Schizosaccharomyces pombe: one gene and its partners. The protein of the gene in region 1 binds, or shares a complex with, the protein of each later gene. Each region holds a gene or a part of one and is shown on either strand. Other genes may lie near its edges. The genes, in order: mrp5, nam9, mug178 and mrp51.

Region 1 (3,985 bases):
GAAATGTGCATAGACAAGACGCATTTTGTAGCGGAAACCTTGGGTGACACCGATAATCATGTTGTTAATGATAGAATAGACGGAACGGATGCAAGCATTATGTTTGCGAGATCCGTGCCAGACAATGAACTTAATAGTATTGCCTTGCTTCTTCATTTCAATATCAACATGGCGCAAGTTTTGCTTGAGAGTACCACGAGGACCGGTAACTGTAACATTACGTGCCTTAATGTCAACAGTAACACCCTTGGGGATTGTCAAAGTCTCGTCCTTGTATATATCACGTCCCATCCTGCAAAGTGTTGGTGGTGTCGTTAATTTTGTCTAAGATAATTTCCGTTTCGAAGGCCTGTGACTGTACTTCTTAGCTAGGGTAGGGTTGAGTGATAGGAGTTTTGTAGTACGTTATAATTAACGAGCTTATTCAGACTTTAATGATGTACGATGTTTAAAGAAATAATGATACAAATTGGATGTAGATGAATATCTTGCACAACAAAGCTGCACAATGGTTTCCAGAAGTAAAGAATTAGAGTACTGACTGCATTGAATATTTATCTATACAAAAAATAAAAGTCACTTTATCATGTTTGTTTGTAATACTCGCGTTGTACATCAACAAACTTTTGGCCGCGCTCCATGGCAATATCCTCAGGGAGACGTTGACTTTGTAAAGCCTCAAACATCGCCTTTACAGTATTCATTCCATTCTTAGAACCAAGTATCTCACCACTAATATCCTTTATACCTGCGCATCTACAGATCTCATGAAGGATGGGGTTGCATCGAAGTCCAAAACCTATATTTAGTTAGTAAAATTGTCATTGCAGGACAAGTAAACATGTCGAATAAAACTAATCGATAAACAGAAAACAGAACTGTCTAAGCTTTTAAAAGATTATTTATAGAACAAATGAACAACATACCGGCTGGACGAGATCGTAATGTTAACCGGACAGCATGAAATTTTTTATGAATAACGCCATATACAGTCCTTTTATCGTAGCGAGGTATGTAAACCATATTTTTAACAGCACGTCCACATGATTGTTTGTATGCTAATGAATAGCTTTCGGCTTTTCCCTCACCAAAACCAGCAACACCATTTCGATTACCGACAACAGTCAGTACGTACATACTGGCAATTTTTCCCTTACGGGTTTGATTAACAACACGTCTTCTTACAAGGGGAACGAACATTAAGGCTCTGAGATCTGACTTTGGGATTCCACTAATATCCGAGAGAAACTCAGCGTCACTTGTGCTCTTACCAGCATCGCCAAAATCAAATGGGGAAAACTTTGAAGAAATTTCAAACGTGAGGTCATCTTTAAAATCCTCCCACTTATCAGGAATTTCCCCGTTAGACTCCTCCGATCCTAAATGAGAATATCCATCTAAAGGAGTGACATATTTATCCAATTTTGATACATAGTTCAATTTCAAACCAGTTTGACGTGGTGCTGTAGACTTTTGGAGTGCTTCAATGGCTAGAGGATGATTACGAATGTAGTTTTCATAGAAAGGAAGGTGATCTTTGAAACGAGACTTTAACTCTTCGATAGAAACATCTTCATTAATGTCGTTAAAAAGCTTGCTGAGATTTTCTACCTTTTTTGGTGATAATGGGGAAGTATTTGACGCAGTTTTACCTTCAGATTCACTCTCTCTTGGTATAGACGATGAGTTAAATTGTTCCTTGGTTTCATTCTTGGATGATTCCTCTACGGATTTTTCGTTTAAATTGGAATTTAATTCCTTTTTGGGATCATTCTTAAAAGAGTTAAGATGTACGGTAGTTTTATGGAAACACCGAAAATAAGTTGGCTGCCGCCTCGAGCCAATTTGTAGAAAATGTGAAAATGAGCGTAACATCGTAATTAAATCAATAAAAAAATTATTTTTTAAGTTATGATCATGAATTTTTAGTGAACCTTAGCAGTGAAAGTAAGAATATTTCCTGGAATCGCTTTATAAAAGCCGAACCACCTATATATTTATTGCACTTTGCAACCAAGGGTGTCACTAACGCTATAAAGACGGGAGGAAAACCCTAAGAGATACTCAGTCAAAAAAAAATGCTATCGATGAGTTTAAATGCTTTTTGAATCGCACAAATAAATTTATAACTGTCTCAGCCGTGAAACTACTTACCACTTTGGCATTGGTTGTAGTTAGGGCGCTTCGGTACGATTCGCTACTGTTCCTATTTAGTAGTGGTATGGACAAAGTACATAAAACCGCACATCACTTTCTAGGATCAGCTCGTCTTGTAATTCTGATTTATCGTCTGGTTAACAACTCCTTTTTTTCTGAGTTCTCTCTCTTGATTTCCTTTCATCATCCTCCGTTTACAAAGAACGCTTCTAAGGCACCCATTTAATGTAGTACATTCGACTTCATAAATATGAATACGGTGCACGAACTACAAGCAAATATACGTAGTTAGCGATGCAATGAACAATTTGAAATAGCTCATTATATTTGTAAACAAGCGGCGGCTGAAATTGTACATGGAAGAAATGAATTGAAAAGATCACTGATTTCAACCTAACTATATGATTAAAAGGATACATGATAGGCAAAAGAGAAAAAAAAGAATCTTTTAAATAAAGCAAAATAATAGTCACTTCCATATTATCCTCAAAATTACTCTTCGGCAAATTTTTTTAGTACTTAAGATTCTAGAAATTTTTTAAAAGAAACAACAATTAGGGCAATCAAGATAGTTAAAGAGCAAGCGTGGACCAAATTATCTTTTAATCCACGGCAAACCTGTAATTTTGAGAATTACGAACGGAAAATAAATAACGTATTTCCAAGGTAAGTCACCAATGCGACGCTATTCAACGTTGTAGGTCAAAGAAACGCGAAATGCAAACAAACAAAAAACACCGTGTAGCAAGAATTGTGTTGTACGATTGAAACTAAAGATCTTCTTTTTCAAATCTATCGATAAAAGAATGATGCGTCTTTAACGAAGGAAAGGCGTCCTTGAAAGGCAATAAAAAAGAATTTCCAAAATATTTCAATTCGTTTGCGATTAAATTTTGTATTTTCTTAAAAGAATATTAAAATAAAAATAAGTTTGTTATTACTAAATACCATTACTCTAAATCTTTACATTTTCCTGCGTTTCCTTCTCATTCGTTGGTGCAGCTCAACAACTCTGCGATTCGCCCACGTAGTATAGCAAGGGCACGAAATAGGGATAGCAGACGGATATGGTACCAACTCTTGAAATATTTACCAAACCAGCTTCCTTTTACATATCCAGCTTTAAAACTATATAGAACCAGAGTATCTTGCGGTTTTTACTTTAAAAAAAGCAGCGCTCGATCAGCCGGTTTGCATTCAATGAAGCAACATTGATATCTTACTCAGTTGAATATTAACTACATAAAAGCTTCCATCGTATCCAGAAACTAACGTCGCCTCTGTTGGAACAAGTTTTGAACATGTCAAAGATATTTTTTCGGTTAAATCTTGTGCGAAATAGCTTATGGAGGCGAGCAGCCAGTTTTACTTCCTATTCCGAATTGAAGTCATTGACGCCTTATGAAATTTTGGAACTACCTCGTACGTGTACGGCTAATGACATTAAACGAAAATATATTGAGCTGGTTAAGAAGCATCATCCTGACAAAATGAAGAATGCATCTCAGCTAGCGCCTACGGAATCTCCGCCAGAAATTAATAAGCACAACGAAGAGTACTTTCGTTTATTGCTGGCAGCCAACGCTTTACTATCTGATAAGAGACGTCGTGAGGAATACGATAGATTTGGAATTCACTGGAATCAGCCGTCTCATCCTACACATCCCTCGCCTCAAAATTGGTCTCAAGCGAGGTATCCTACCTATTCAAGATCTCGTCGTTCTGCTGGTATGGGGTCTTGGGAAGAATACTACTACAATTCCTATGATTATATGAATGACCAAAATGCTTCTAATAAAAACAGAAAATTTGACGATGAAGGCATGCT
Region 2 (3,289 bases), on another chromosome or scaffold:
GAACACGAGCACCAATTGAAACATTGGGTCCAATCTTTGCACCTTTGCTAACAATAGCATTAGGATGAATAAAAACCGGCTGAATGATCTCAGCCTCAGTGTCGGGTTTTGGAAGAGTACCATCATGATATGCCTTTTGTAAATACAAGGAATTAGCAGGAACAGCAGAGCCAGCGGTTTTTATTTGACGCCAGAACTCAGGAGTATTATAAGCATAAATGGCTTTAGAGGAATCTGAGCACAATGGAGCAAGCACATCGGTCTCCAAACTGAGGTAGTCTTCCATTCCTTCATCCAAGGACCTGAGTTGCTTCTCGACCTCCTCAAGTCTACGCTCGTACGCTTTTTTGATTTCATCGAATATAGAGGCATCAAAGATATAAATACCACATGAAATAATATTTGAAAGATAGGAGCTTGGCTTATCAACATAATGAAGTACACGCCCAGTACTTGGTTCCTCTACAAGGCAACCGAAGTTAGAAGCATCTTCTTTACTAACCTTAGTAGCCATTAAAGTAACTAAAGCTTTCTTCTCGTGATGAACGTTTAACAATTCTTGTAAGGGAAAACTGCAACACACATCCGCATGCATAACAAAAACATTAGAAGTATGTCCTTTAAGGATTTGATCACGGAAATGGTATAAGCCGCCACCAGTTCCTAAGCAGTTGTATTCACGGAGATACTTGATACGATTGAAACTGGGGAAATGCGAAGCTACTTCGTTGATAAAATCTTTGAAAACGCTTTCATCGTAGAAACCAACCAAAAAGACATCTTTAACACTTTCAATCTTGGATAAAGCCGCCAAATGATGGTAAATCATTTCTCGTCCTCCAATTTTAAACAAAGGCTAATTTAGTTAGCAAAATAGCTCTTATGTTTCAAATGCAACTAGAAAGTAAAACTGGATTACGTATTTTACCAACATATAAATTCTAAATAAGACGTACTTTAGGGACATCAAACGAAAGAGGGCGGAATCGGGTACCACTGCAAAGTAATTAGTTACTGATATTCACGCGTTTAATAGACTTATTTTTCGTTGGTACGTACCGAGATGGACCCCCGACCAGAATGACAGCAGAGGAAATCATAATAGCAATTTAATACTAAAAAATCAATAATGAGTATCAAAATCACCAAAAACGAAAGAGATATACGCCTCTTGAAACTTGGTGTGTGGTTCTGTGCAAGTCCTGTCCAGCTCTCCTTTGTTTAATAAGGAAGGTAGCGCTATGAGCTAACTTCTGCCAGTTCATATTTGCACTTAATAGCCTGGCTGCAGAAGATAATACTCTATGTAACAATGAAATACTAATGTAAATCAATTTAGTTCAAAAACCCATGATCTAAAAATTGTGCTGCAGGCTGAGGCACTTTGCCAGCCGTGAGGAACTTAATGCTCATCATCAGCTGTTTTGCAGAAAATAGTAAAGCACCTTCTAGCTTTGGTACAAATTATAATGCATTAAAACTTAAATAAATAAAATTTACTAATTGAATTTTCGAGTAAAAGTAGCCTTTTTAAAAATTTGTTCTCTTTAATCACCTTTATGAATTTACCATCAACTTCACGCACTACGCTGGAAGATTGGACTCTCGTGACAAAGACTTAATTGCTCATGAAGGGGAAATTTAGGTTCTCTTTAAAGCGCGGTGTATGTTATATATGAAATTATTGATTTTTTCGCTTTTATTAATACATATCTAGCTTTTGCGTCCGTCGTGGAACAAATACAATATATACAACATTGCAAGAAAACAACTACCTGCTCTGAATAATAGAACTTTATATCAAAAAAAATGGAATGCGAAGAAGGAAACAAGGTCTTATCATGGTCCTCAATTACGCGAATATCAACTGAAAAATGCCTTCCGCCCAAAATTGGAGGGGGTTATTTCTTCCTTAGATAATAAGCTTCCCATCCCTTTTATGAATCAGACTTATGCATTTTTGGAATCCCGTTTAGACATGTCTATTCATCGAGCGTTATTTGCGTCTAGCGCTTTACAGGCTCGCCAACTGGTGCTTCATGGAAAAGTGCACGTAAACGGAAAACCTGAACGCCGTGCCTATCGTCAACTCTTACCTGGTGATTTAGTAACTGTTGATCAAAAATCAGTAATGAATTGTGTTTCTGCCTCTAGTAACAATACCCCTTCTATACAGGATGGGAAGCAAACTGAACAGGTGTCCTCTAAGGATGGAGAAAATGAAAAAAAAAAGGATAATGATGATGATTTATTTGAACAGACTTCTAATGGAAAGTTGCCCTCTATCAATGAAACAATTTCCAACTTTGTTCCTAAACCGTTTATGTCACTAATGGCATTTATCCCTGCTTATTTAGAAGTTTGCTTCCGCACTTGTTCCTTTGTTTATGTGCGTGATCCAGTTGCTCGTCCTGGCTTAACGGAAGTTCCTTCTCCATTTCCTGAAGACTTGCACGCTTTAGCCTATACATACTATATCAGAAGTCGTAATATGCGGCAAGGAGCAGCTAGATGTCAGGCCAGACGGCTTATTCCGCAGAAAGTACGCGATGCATCATTTTATCAAGGACCTCCTGAATTATATAAAAAACGAAATGTTTCTCCCAAAGAAGCATTCTCTCATCGGTATCCAGTTCGTCAAGGAAAGTTGACGAAACTCGTATAAATCGAATAAATGAACTCCTCTCAAAAGTTTAGTAATAAAATATAAAACATTCTCAATTATGCTTTTTGTAATACTATGTTGATTTCCACTTTTGTTTTCCTGCTCTATGAAGTAACTGCCCTGTCTACTGCTATCCACGTAACCAAATCTTATACACATACAAGAACTGGCACATCTTTTTTCATGTACCAAAAGGAGGCCTTTTATCGTGGACGTAGCTCAACAAGACAATTTAACAATACCCGATCTCCATCTGGACGTTCAGCGTCGCGTTCTTCCAATTTCTCACATCGGTCTAGTAGTCGTGATTCTTTTTCCTCGAATAGATCTTACTCGAGTTCGCTTTCCAGATCTCCAGAAGAACCATTGCGAACAGTACGTTTTCCATGTATAATTAGTTATTTAAGGCATACTAATCGTTTCTAATACGATGCAAAATAGATTCTTGTGGAAAATTTGACGCGTAATGTCACTAAAGAACATATAGCAGAAATATTTGGGATTTATGGACTAATTGATCATATTTTCATGCCAATTTATAAAAAATGTGAGTGAGCTTTTATTTTTTATGAATTACACCCACTAACTTTGCAGCTGAATTGAATAAAGGGTATTGCTACATAG
Region 3 (4,262 bases), on another chromosome or scaffold:
GCCTCTGTGGGTTTCACGCTGTCAATTAGTAAAAAATAAAGAAACTTTTACAAACCTCGCGTAAATTTTCAAGTACAAATAGCATAGTTTTTTTAATTCTAGATTATTAGATTCCATAGAAGATATCACCGATGGAAACAGTGAACTCATATCATATCCATAAGATATGCCTGCAATTGCTTTCTTTAAAGCAGAAATTCGTTTGTTTGCAGATTTGTCCTTATTATCTGAGCTGAAGACTGCTAGCAAATCAGCAGCGGTAGACTTTTGTTTAAGTTAGTAATTCCGAATTTTATGAAAGTTAAATTACCGAAAAATGACTTGAACTACTCGACATTATAACAACATGCTATGTACGTGTTAACATTCAAAATGTATTGTGGTATAATACTGAGTGTTATTGTACAAAGCAAAATAACGAGTTACAGTAAAATGCTTGAATAAAAGATTGTACGAAGAAAAGAAAAATAATGATTGCTAATAAAACACGATTTTATCTCTTAGTAGGTACTAGAGTAACTGGGTAATTAAGAAGCAAATTCAAAAGACGTTTACAAAGTTTATCGGATTTACAATTTAATACACTGTCGGGAAGCGTTGATTGATATAAGCTTATTAATTTATTTATGCAAATTTTTTAGCACGTGCGTACATAATATAAACCAAACAGAGTTCAATATAAACGGACACCCTTAGGAACATCGTAGGTTTCCAGTAATGCGATACGGCCATAACGAAAATTACAAGAACCAAAATAAGTTAAAATCACTCAAAAAACAAACAATAAAAATTCAATCTTTTTTAAACAAGAATGGTGGGAATAATAAACAAGCTTGTTGACAATATTATTTCCTAGAAAAAGTAATAGGTGTATAGAATCTCTCCATGAACAAAAAGAGGGAGAAAAAAGCGGTTCACTACAATGCAAAATAACGGTTAAAAATATTTAATGATCTTAAAGGCATATCATGATAGCTCAAGGAGAAAGTAGTCCGTGCAATTAATTTCCCTAACTCAAAAACTCAGGATCGTAAGCAGATGAAATAAATGTTAAATATGGATGGATCTTCATAATAGACGATTATCAACAGACGAAAACAATATTAAGAAACAATTCCTTGAAAGAAAAGCTATTGTTTTAAGAAAACCGAAGTGACTCACGGGAGAAATAATCGTTTTACTGTTTTTTATTGTCAATGTCAACTTGTATTATGGTATTAAATACTCCTATTTTCTCGTGTGATATTTGGAATGGTTTTACCGGTTTCATCGACATTAAGAGATCGAATTACGTATCGATTTTTTGTTGAAGTAATTCCTTTGAGAGAAGTAGCAGCTATAACTCCTGAGACACCAAATAAACATTCTTTAGAGTCGGGTGCAAATTTTCCGTAAGTAAATGGTAACGGGACTTTTTTAGTTTGAATAAAGGATACTAAACTTAGGCGCTTCTTTTCAGAATCAGAAAAAGAATCTAAAAGTTTCAATTTGGCGTATAATATACCTGGTGGAAGTGTAGGTCTGGATTTAGGATTTGAGCTTGAGAAAGTGTTGTATTTCTGTAAAAGGTAAGGGGAAATTTGTTCATAATCATTAAGCGGAACAGGGAGCTTAAGGTCGTAAATTCGTTTCAAGGTGCGTACGAATCTGTCACTGCTGATGAAGGCACACTGATGCTCGAATGTGTCAAACTTTTGTATGGAAATATGACGGTTTTTTAGGATCGGTAACTTCCTCTTAGCTCCCCAATCGCCGCGAAATCTTTGGCATTTCTTCGCAGTAATTGCTTGTAGGATGGGAATCTTCGTATCATAGACATCAGGGGAGTTCCTCGGCAAGTCTGGTCTTGCTAAACTAACTGCTCGGGAGCATCTCAACAAATCAGGAAACTTCATTATAATTTTGATTAAAGATATACTTTGTCAGAAACATCCAAATTCTGCCCAATGTAAACCACCACCGAAAAGTAACTGCTGAACGAAAGTGGGTACTTCTAATGAGTCAATATTGTCAATATCAATAGCAATCACTCAGAAAACACACGAATACGACTGTAATTTTTTGATGCCAGCTATTTATATACTTTTGTCGTGCAATCCAGCTTGCGAAGTGTTTTACATCAAGTGTGCACACTCATGAAAAGTATATACGAGATGAAATTCTCTCTATTAATATACAAAATTATGGCCAATGTTACAATAGCTAGTTTGAAGTTATAGAATCGCTTTCGTTAGGAGGTCATGTCGGCATGTTGTGTAGTAAACGTTCACTCTCCTCAAGTAGCAATGTTACTTGACTCGCACACTGTTGGATAGAGAAACAGAGTGCTTTAATTGTTTACACTCGAGTAAACCATGACTGAGTACGATTTTAGCTTGTACTTATTAAATTTAACGGGAATTTTTTTTATAATTATAAATTAGTAATACTAAAGGTATGGCTATCATAAGAAAAGTGAAACTTATAAAGGTTAACTTTCGGTAAATTTGTGTGTTCTTCCTTGTTCATTAATGAGTTTATCTCTACTAAACTAAACTATATGATTTTTCTAGTCTAAGTTTATTTACTGATAATTAATGAGTTGCTTGTCAGATCGTTTGTTGTTTATATTTGTCTATTATATTTGATCTTGAGATTCTGTATATCATGTAACAGATTTTTAAACTTTTTCTTTGACTATTTGTGTGCTTATTAGCTATCTCAAAGGCTTAGGTATATTATTACTTGTTCAATACATTATGATTTGCAATAATGCAATTGTTCCAGTCACTATTCGAGCTTGAAGAATAAATTATACGAGAATGAATACATTGCTTTAATACAATCGCTATTAAAATGTTTCGGTTCATATTCTACTGTAAGCGTATTATTCAACATAGATTACCTGACTACCAATAAAAATTTTGCTTTAACACACCACCAGAGGACAGGCAGGTTCCCTTACTACCCTACCACTTCTGGGTGTCTTTCTATGAACGTAATGGTTTCGTTTAATCAATTACGAAACTATTTTCTAGAAAGCAACAGCTTACGGCCATCGAAATGGCTTTTTCAGTCGTATGGTACTTCAAGTTCTGCGAATATCCTAAATGGAAAATTATTGGCAAGGTAAGATAAAGTTTATATTCTAAATTTTCTCTATGCAGATGAGCGTGCATTTCTGTGTTTGTCTTTGACGATAAAATTTTGGTGGTTTGAAAATTGATTTGCGTACATTGCTTAATTCCGTATATTCTTCAATTTTTTTGTCGATACTTAGAAGTTAAAAAATTGTATTGGGCATTGCAGCACGTTTGAGGTTTCATCAGATTTTTTTGCTCTTAAAACTTTATATTTTTATTTCTCTTTGAGGTTACTAATGTAGCGACTAATTAGAAAATTACAACGTTCTGTTGCTGAAGAAGTGCAGGCCTTGAAAGCTAAGGATCGAAACTTTAAGCCGGCGCTTGCCATTGTACAGGTTGGAAAACGTGAGGATTCTAACGTGTACGTTCGAATGAAAGAAAAGGCGGCACGATTAGTTGGTATTGATTTTAAATACTGCCCGTTTCCTGAAACAATCCAAATGCCTGCCTTGCTTCATGAATTAAAAAAATTGAATGACGATCATACGGTTCACGGTGTCCTTGTCCAACTTCCTCTTCCCAAGCATCTCAATGAGCGTACAGTTACTGAATCTATCACTCCGCCGAAAGACGTTGATGGATTTGGTGCATTTAACATTGGTTTATTGGCAAAGAATGATGCTACCCCCATTCATTATCCCTGTACCCCGAAAGGTATTATGGAGTTATTAAAAGATAACAAGATTTCAGTCGCTGGATTGAACGCTGTAGTTCTGGGAAGAAGTGACATTGTCGGAAATCCAATTAGCTACTTGTTGAGAAAGGACAATGCTACAGTAACTGTCTGTCATTCTAAAACTAAAGATTTAATTCAGCACATTTCTAATGCTGATTTGGTTATAGCAGCATTAGGCAAACCCGAATTTGTTCGTGGTGAATGGTTGAAACCAGGATCTGTTGTGGTAGATGTTGGCATAAACGCTGTTCAAAGAAATGGAAAACGCGTTTTGGTTGGCGATGTGCATTTCGAATCTGCATCCAAAGTTGCTAGCAGCATTACTCCTGTCCCTGGAGGCGTCGGACCGATGACTGTTGCTATGCTAATGGAAAATATTGTAAACGCTGCCAAGATAGCTAGAACAGAAAACATTTATCGAAAAATTGACTTAAATCCTTTAGAGTTAAAGAAGCCTGTTC
Region 4 (4,025 bases), 1.8 Mb from region 1:
TGAGGCAGGAATTAAAAACCAAACAAAAAGGAGATCTTTTATCTAAGATTCAATCGTATAGGGCTGGGTATACGGTTCAGGAACGCAGGAAGATAGAGAGTGAAATGTTTAACGGGAAATTATATGGGATTATTGCGACGAATGCTTTAGAGCTAGGTATTGATATAGGATCACTGGATGCCGTTATAACCATAGGATTTCCATATTCTTTGTCTAACTTGCGCCAGCAATTTGGTCGTGCTGGTAGAAGGAATAAGTCTTCCTTAGCAGTATATATAGTTGAGACATTTCCCGTTGATCAGTTTTATTTAAAGCATCCTATTTTGATTCACACTCAACCAAATGCTGAACTCACTTTAGACTTGACAAATGAGGTATTACTAGCGAGTCATCTTCAGTGTGCTGCATATGAGCTTCCCATTAACATAAGGAGCGACGAAAAGTTTTTTGGAAATCAAATTCAAGACATTTGCGAAGCAAATTTAGAAATGGTTGAAGAGAGTTATCGGCCTCATCCAAAATATCTTCCTTTTCCTGCCTCGCAGGTACGGATACGAAGCGTTAGTGAAGACATGTTTACTCTCGTCGATGTCACAAATGATAAGAATGTTATTCTAGAACTCCTCGAACCTTTTCGTGTTGCATTAACTGCTTACGAAGGTGCAGTTTATGTTTATCAAGGAAAAACGTTTATCATTAGGCTCCTAAATATTAACAAGAGAATTATTACTGCTCATCAAGTTGATGTTGAATGGTCAACATTGCAAAGAGATTTCACAGATGTTGATCCTGTTCGCAGCTTAATGAAGAAGACTATGCATGGAAGTACAAACATTTATTTTGGGGCTGTTAAAGCAACATTACATGTATTTGGGTATTTCAAAGTTAACAAGCAGAAAGATATTCTGGACGTGGTAGATATTACCGATCATCCTGTTGAAATTGATAGTCGAGGTTTCTGGATAGATGTACCTTGGCATATCATTGAGGTTTTGTCATTAAAAAAAATAAATGGAGCCGCTAGTATACATGCTGCCCAACATGCTTTACTTTCGTTGATGCCAATTTTTATTAGTAACAGCGGTAACGATATTCGAACAGAATGTAAAGCGGGTGAAAAGGAGTATAAAGAGGCTAAAAGCGAGCGAAGACGTCCTTCCCGACTCATTTTCTATGATAATTGTGGTGATTCATCTGGTGCTGGTTTATGCAACAAGGCATATGAACATACTGATGAATTAATTACAATGGCCATTGAGCGAATTGAGAGTTGCGATTGCAAAGTTCGTGAAGGTTGTCCCGGATGTATTACGAGTTCAAAATTTGAAGGCGGAGTTTGCTCTGGAGAAGTACTTGACAAGGGTAAGTATAGATATACTTTGCATTTTTTGTTGGACGGTGAAGCAATCCCGTATAGATTGGTCGCTTAGTAGTTTGTAAGATAACACTCTCATTTTTTTTATGATCAAATGAAAAGGGATTGCTTGCAAACTTAAATAGATTATTCACATTACTTCTACTAACATATTTCTTTCAGTTGGCGCTTTAATCTTATTGAAAATGCTACTGTGTCAACATGTAAATTTAGATATATATGCTGATGGACCAGAGATTGATTCATATCACGCTTTGCGAACTTTAATACCTTCTTGTTAATAATTGAATTTATTTTTTTTATTTTGTTTATATTAGACTAAATTATTAGTTAGTACTACTAATATTGCGTTGTGCTTTTTGATTTTACATTTAAACCCTACCCTAACTTACCGGAGTCAATGTTAGATACTGACAGCGCTCAGTGCTTACTACCGTACAGCCACCGTTCTCCTCATAGAAGCCAAGTCCCAATATAAATCTTGAATTTTTGTAAAAATATGAGTTTTGCACAAATTCTCCGTGGCTCGAGGGCAATGGCTTCTCCAAAATGTCTTCCAGAATCCAATTATTCAACATCACACCTTCGGTTTCCTCGATTGCAATCCATAACTTCAAAAAAAAATAGTAGAGCTCGTGGTGATTGGGGACTGAAAAGGACTCTTCCAAAAATAAAGACAAGATACATATGTGTGCGGCAGCAAGATTCCTTATACAAGCAAGCAGATTTTCAATCAAGCGCTAAATTTGTTCGTCTAGTTCGCAATTGGTTTGATGCTGGATTTGTACGAGATCCTTCTGAAGTTGCTTTGTTGCAAGAATTATTGAAAGAAACGGGGTTGAAAGATACGCGTGACATAAATAAGGTATTTTCTCCTTCTAAACAATCCGACGAAAATGATAACTTTCGCCGTTACGGAGTTTCTGGCGGTATTCAATACAGTAATGTTCCTTTAATTAATTCTCGAGTAACACCTAATTGTGAATCAAATTGTTCCAATATTCGACGTCGACTTACGGCCCATATAATTAGTTCAGATGCCTCTACTGCATACTACGGTTTAGGGGGCTTGATTCTGAGGCTACCTCGAACAGTTGTCTTTAATAGAAATCGGTCATCTCCCCTCTTTTCCCAGGAACAGCGCATTTCTTATACAGTCTATAAAAATGGTCGACTCCGACTAGTTCCCTTTTCCGGTCCCGAGTTAGAAACACATCTTGCCTATCCCTCGGAAGACTCGGAGGTTGAATCGTTTTTTAACAGAGATATTCAATTGGTAGCCAAAAGAGATTCATCTCTCGATGCTCCCGTATCCTATCAACGGGGTATTATGAAATTTTTTATGGCTCCCTCTCAAACCTCAAATAATGAAGCTAATTCCTCAGAGAAAGATAACCTCTCTAATTCGTAGAGGACTTTATGATCATGTGCATTTATGCTATCTCCTTATGGTTTACTCGATTTTAAGTTGCATTTAACAACCTATCATTTTTATTATTAAGAAGGTTCGTTTAAGTCTCCTATATTCTGTTGTTATCCCACAGTACAATCTACCACTAGCAATAATCTTAACGACATACGATTCTCCTTTAAAAAATCTTTCAATCTATTTATTCTTACTTCTCTTTGTGTGGCATCAAATTCTTGTACCAATAATGGGTCTATTGCTTCAAATGACTCTTACACTTTCCATTTGTTTCCCTATTTACTAGTTTACCCTAAACTGCGTTTTGCACTTGACGGTTGTTCATTTTGGTGAACAGTCATAACACTTGAACTGAATGTGTTTTCTAAGAAGTTTGTTTGGTTTGCAATGTTACATCCTTGTTCTCTGGGTGTTAGTGAAAGTCACTCTCGTTAATCTTGACTAGGTATATATTTCAGTTAACCGTTATTTTCGGTTTCACCTCGAAATAAATGTTTTTTGTTGATTATATAAGCGCAAGCGTTTGAAAAAAGAGTTAGAATTTTGTAAAGGATTTTTTTTTTCCGAAATTGTCTTTAAGTACAGTTCAATAACTTACAAAATCTTATCCTTTTACCATACATTGTTAATTGTGCATTTCAACTGTTTAATTAGATATAACTGATTATTAGCATATACTATAAAAATGACTGTAGATGTGTATATATATTTCAAAAGTTGAATCACATAGCCCAATCTTTGGTATATATGTGAATATAATTCAGCAAACAACTTCCACGAGATATAAGTCTTCTAAAAACATAGGGCGTGTCGTCAAAAAATGATATAAATAATCCCAATCGTCAAAGATATATCAGTGAAAGAATATACTGACAGACGATCATTAAGGACTATTCAAATCTGCTTCGCAATTGAACAATTTAAAAAAATGAGTGCTGCTCTTTAGGAAGTTTGAGTTATTTGTGATAAAATGATAAGAACTTAAAACCATAGTAAAATAATTACCATTAATTCCAACCAAGCCAAGATCGACGCATTACACGCCACACAGTAACTTCTCCACTCTTTAAATCACCGAATTTGTAGCTTGCAACTGAAACCTTCTTGGACTCTCTGCCTTGTTCCAACACCCTAATCTTCAGTTTCGAAACATCCCACTCTGATATGATACCATAATGCATGGGCTTACCAACTTCAAGAGAGTATTTTGAACGAAGAGTACCT

The links.
Region 2: mrp5 (region 1) and nam9 share a complex: the UniProt entries of both Schizosaccharomyces pombe proteins name them as parts of the mitochondrial small ribosomal subunit.
Region 3: mrp5 (region 1) and mug178 share a complex: the UniProt entries of both Schizosaccharomyces pombe proteins name them as parts of the mitochondrial small ribosomal subunit.
Region 4: mrp5 (region 1) and mrp51 share a complex: the UniProt entries of both Schizosaccharomyces pombe proteins name them as parts of the mitochondrial small ribosomal subunit.

The regions. Positions count from the first base shown.
Region 1 is NC_003424.3:2,283,919-2,287,903, forward strand, and holds mrp5 (mitochondrial 37S ribosomal protein uS5m), read right to left. Parts: upstream 2,096-3,985; 5' UTR 1,876-2,095; coding exon 927-1,875; intron 800-926; coding exon 585-799; 3' UTR 564-584; downstream 1-563. Other genes in the region: rpl901 (60S ribosomal protein L9), read right to left, coding at 1-291; SPOM_SPAC4G9.19 (DNAJB family protein), read left to right, coding at 3,459-3,985. UniProt on the Schizosaccharomyces pombe protein: Component of the mitochondrial ribosome (mitoribosome), a dedicated translation machinery responsible for the synthesis of mitochondrial genome-encoded proteins, including at least some of the essential transmembrane subunits of the mitochondrial respiratory chain.
Region 2 is NC_003423.3:3,727,628-3,730,916, reverse strand, and holds nam9 (mitochondrial 37S ribosomal protein uS4m), read left to right. Parts: upstream 1-1,567; 5' UTR 1,568-1,628; coding exon 1,629-1,664; intron 1,665-1,717; coding exon 1,718-2,665; 3' UTR 2,666-2,722; downstream 2,723-3,289. Other genes in the region: mpg2 (mannose-1-phosphate guanyltransferase), read right to left, coding at 1-856, 957-996, 1,060-1,100; rns1 (putative RNA-binding protein), read left to right, coding at 2,849-3,040, 3,107-3,212, 3,260-3,289. UniProt on the Schizosaccharomyces pombe protein: Component of the mitochondrial ribosome (mitoribosome), a dedicated translation machinery responsible for the synthesis of mitochondrial genome-encoded proteins, including at least some of the essential transmembrane subunits of the mitochondrial respiratory chain.
Region 3 is NC_003423.3:3,445,996-3,450,257, forward strand, and holds mug178 (mitochondrial 37S ribosomal protein bS1m), read right to left. Parts: upstream 2,230-4,262; 5' UTR 1,896-2,229; coding exon 1,218-1,895; 3' UTR 521-1,217; downstream 1-520. Other genes in the region: AP-2 adaptor complex subunit Apl1, read right to left, coding at 1-18, 56-264, 311-337; ade9 (trifunctional formate-tetrahydrofolate ligase/methenyltetrahydrofolate cyclohydrolase/methylenetetrahydrofolate dehydrogenase), read left to right, coding at 2,972-3,108, 3,376-4,262. UniProt on the Schizosaccharomyces pombe protein: Component of the mitochondrial ribosome (mitoribosome), a dedicated translation machinery responsible for the synthesis of mitochondrial genome-encoded proteins, including at least some of the essential transmembrane subunits of the mitochondrial respiratory chain.
Region 4 is NC_003424.3:4,111,446-4,115,470, reverse strand, and holds mrp51 (mitochondrial 37S ribosomal protein bS1m), read left to right. Parts: upstream 1-1,812; 5' UTR 1,813-1,874; coding exon 1,875-2,786; 3' UTR 2,787-3,501; downstream 3,502-4,025. Other genes in the region: RecQ type DNA helicase Hrq1, read left to right, coding at 1-1,362, 1,538-1,656; bbc1 (SH3 domain-containing protein), read right to left, coding at 3,809-4,025. UniProt on the Schizosaccharomyces pombe protein: Component of the mitochondrial ribosome (mitoribosome), a dedicated translation machinery responsible for the synthesis of mitochondrial genome-encoded proteins, including at least some of the essential transmembrane subunits of the mitochondrial respiratory chain.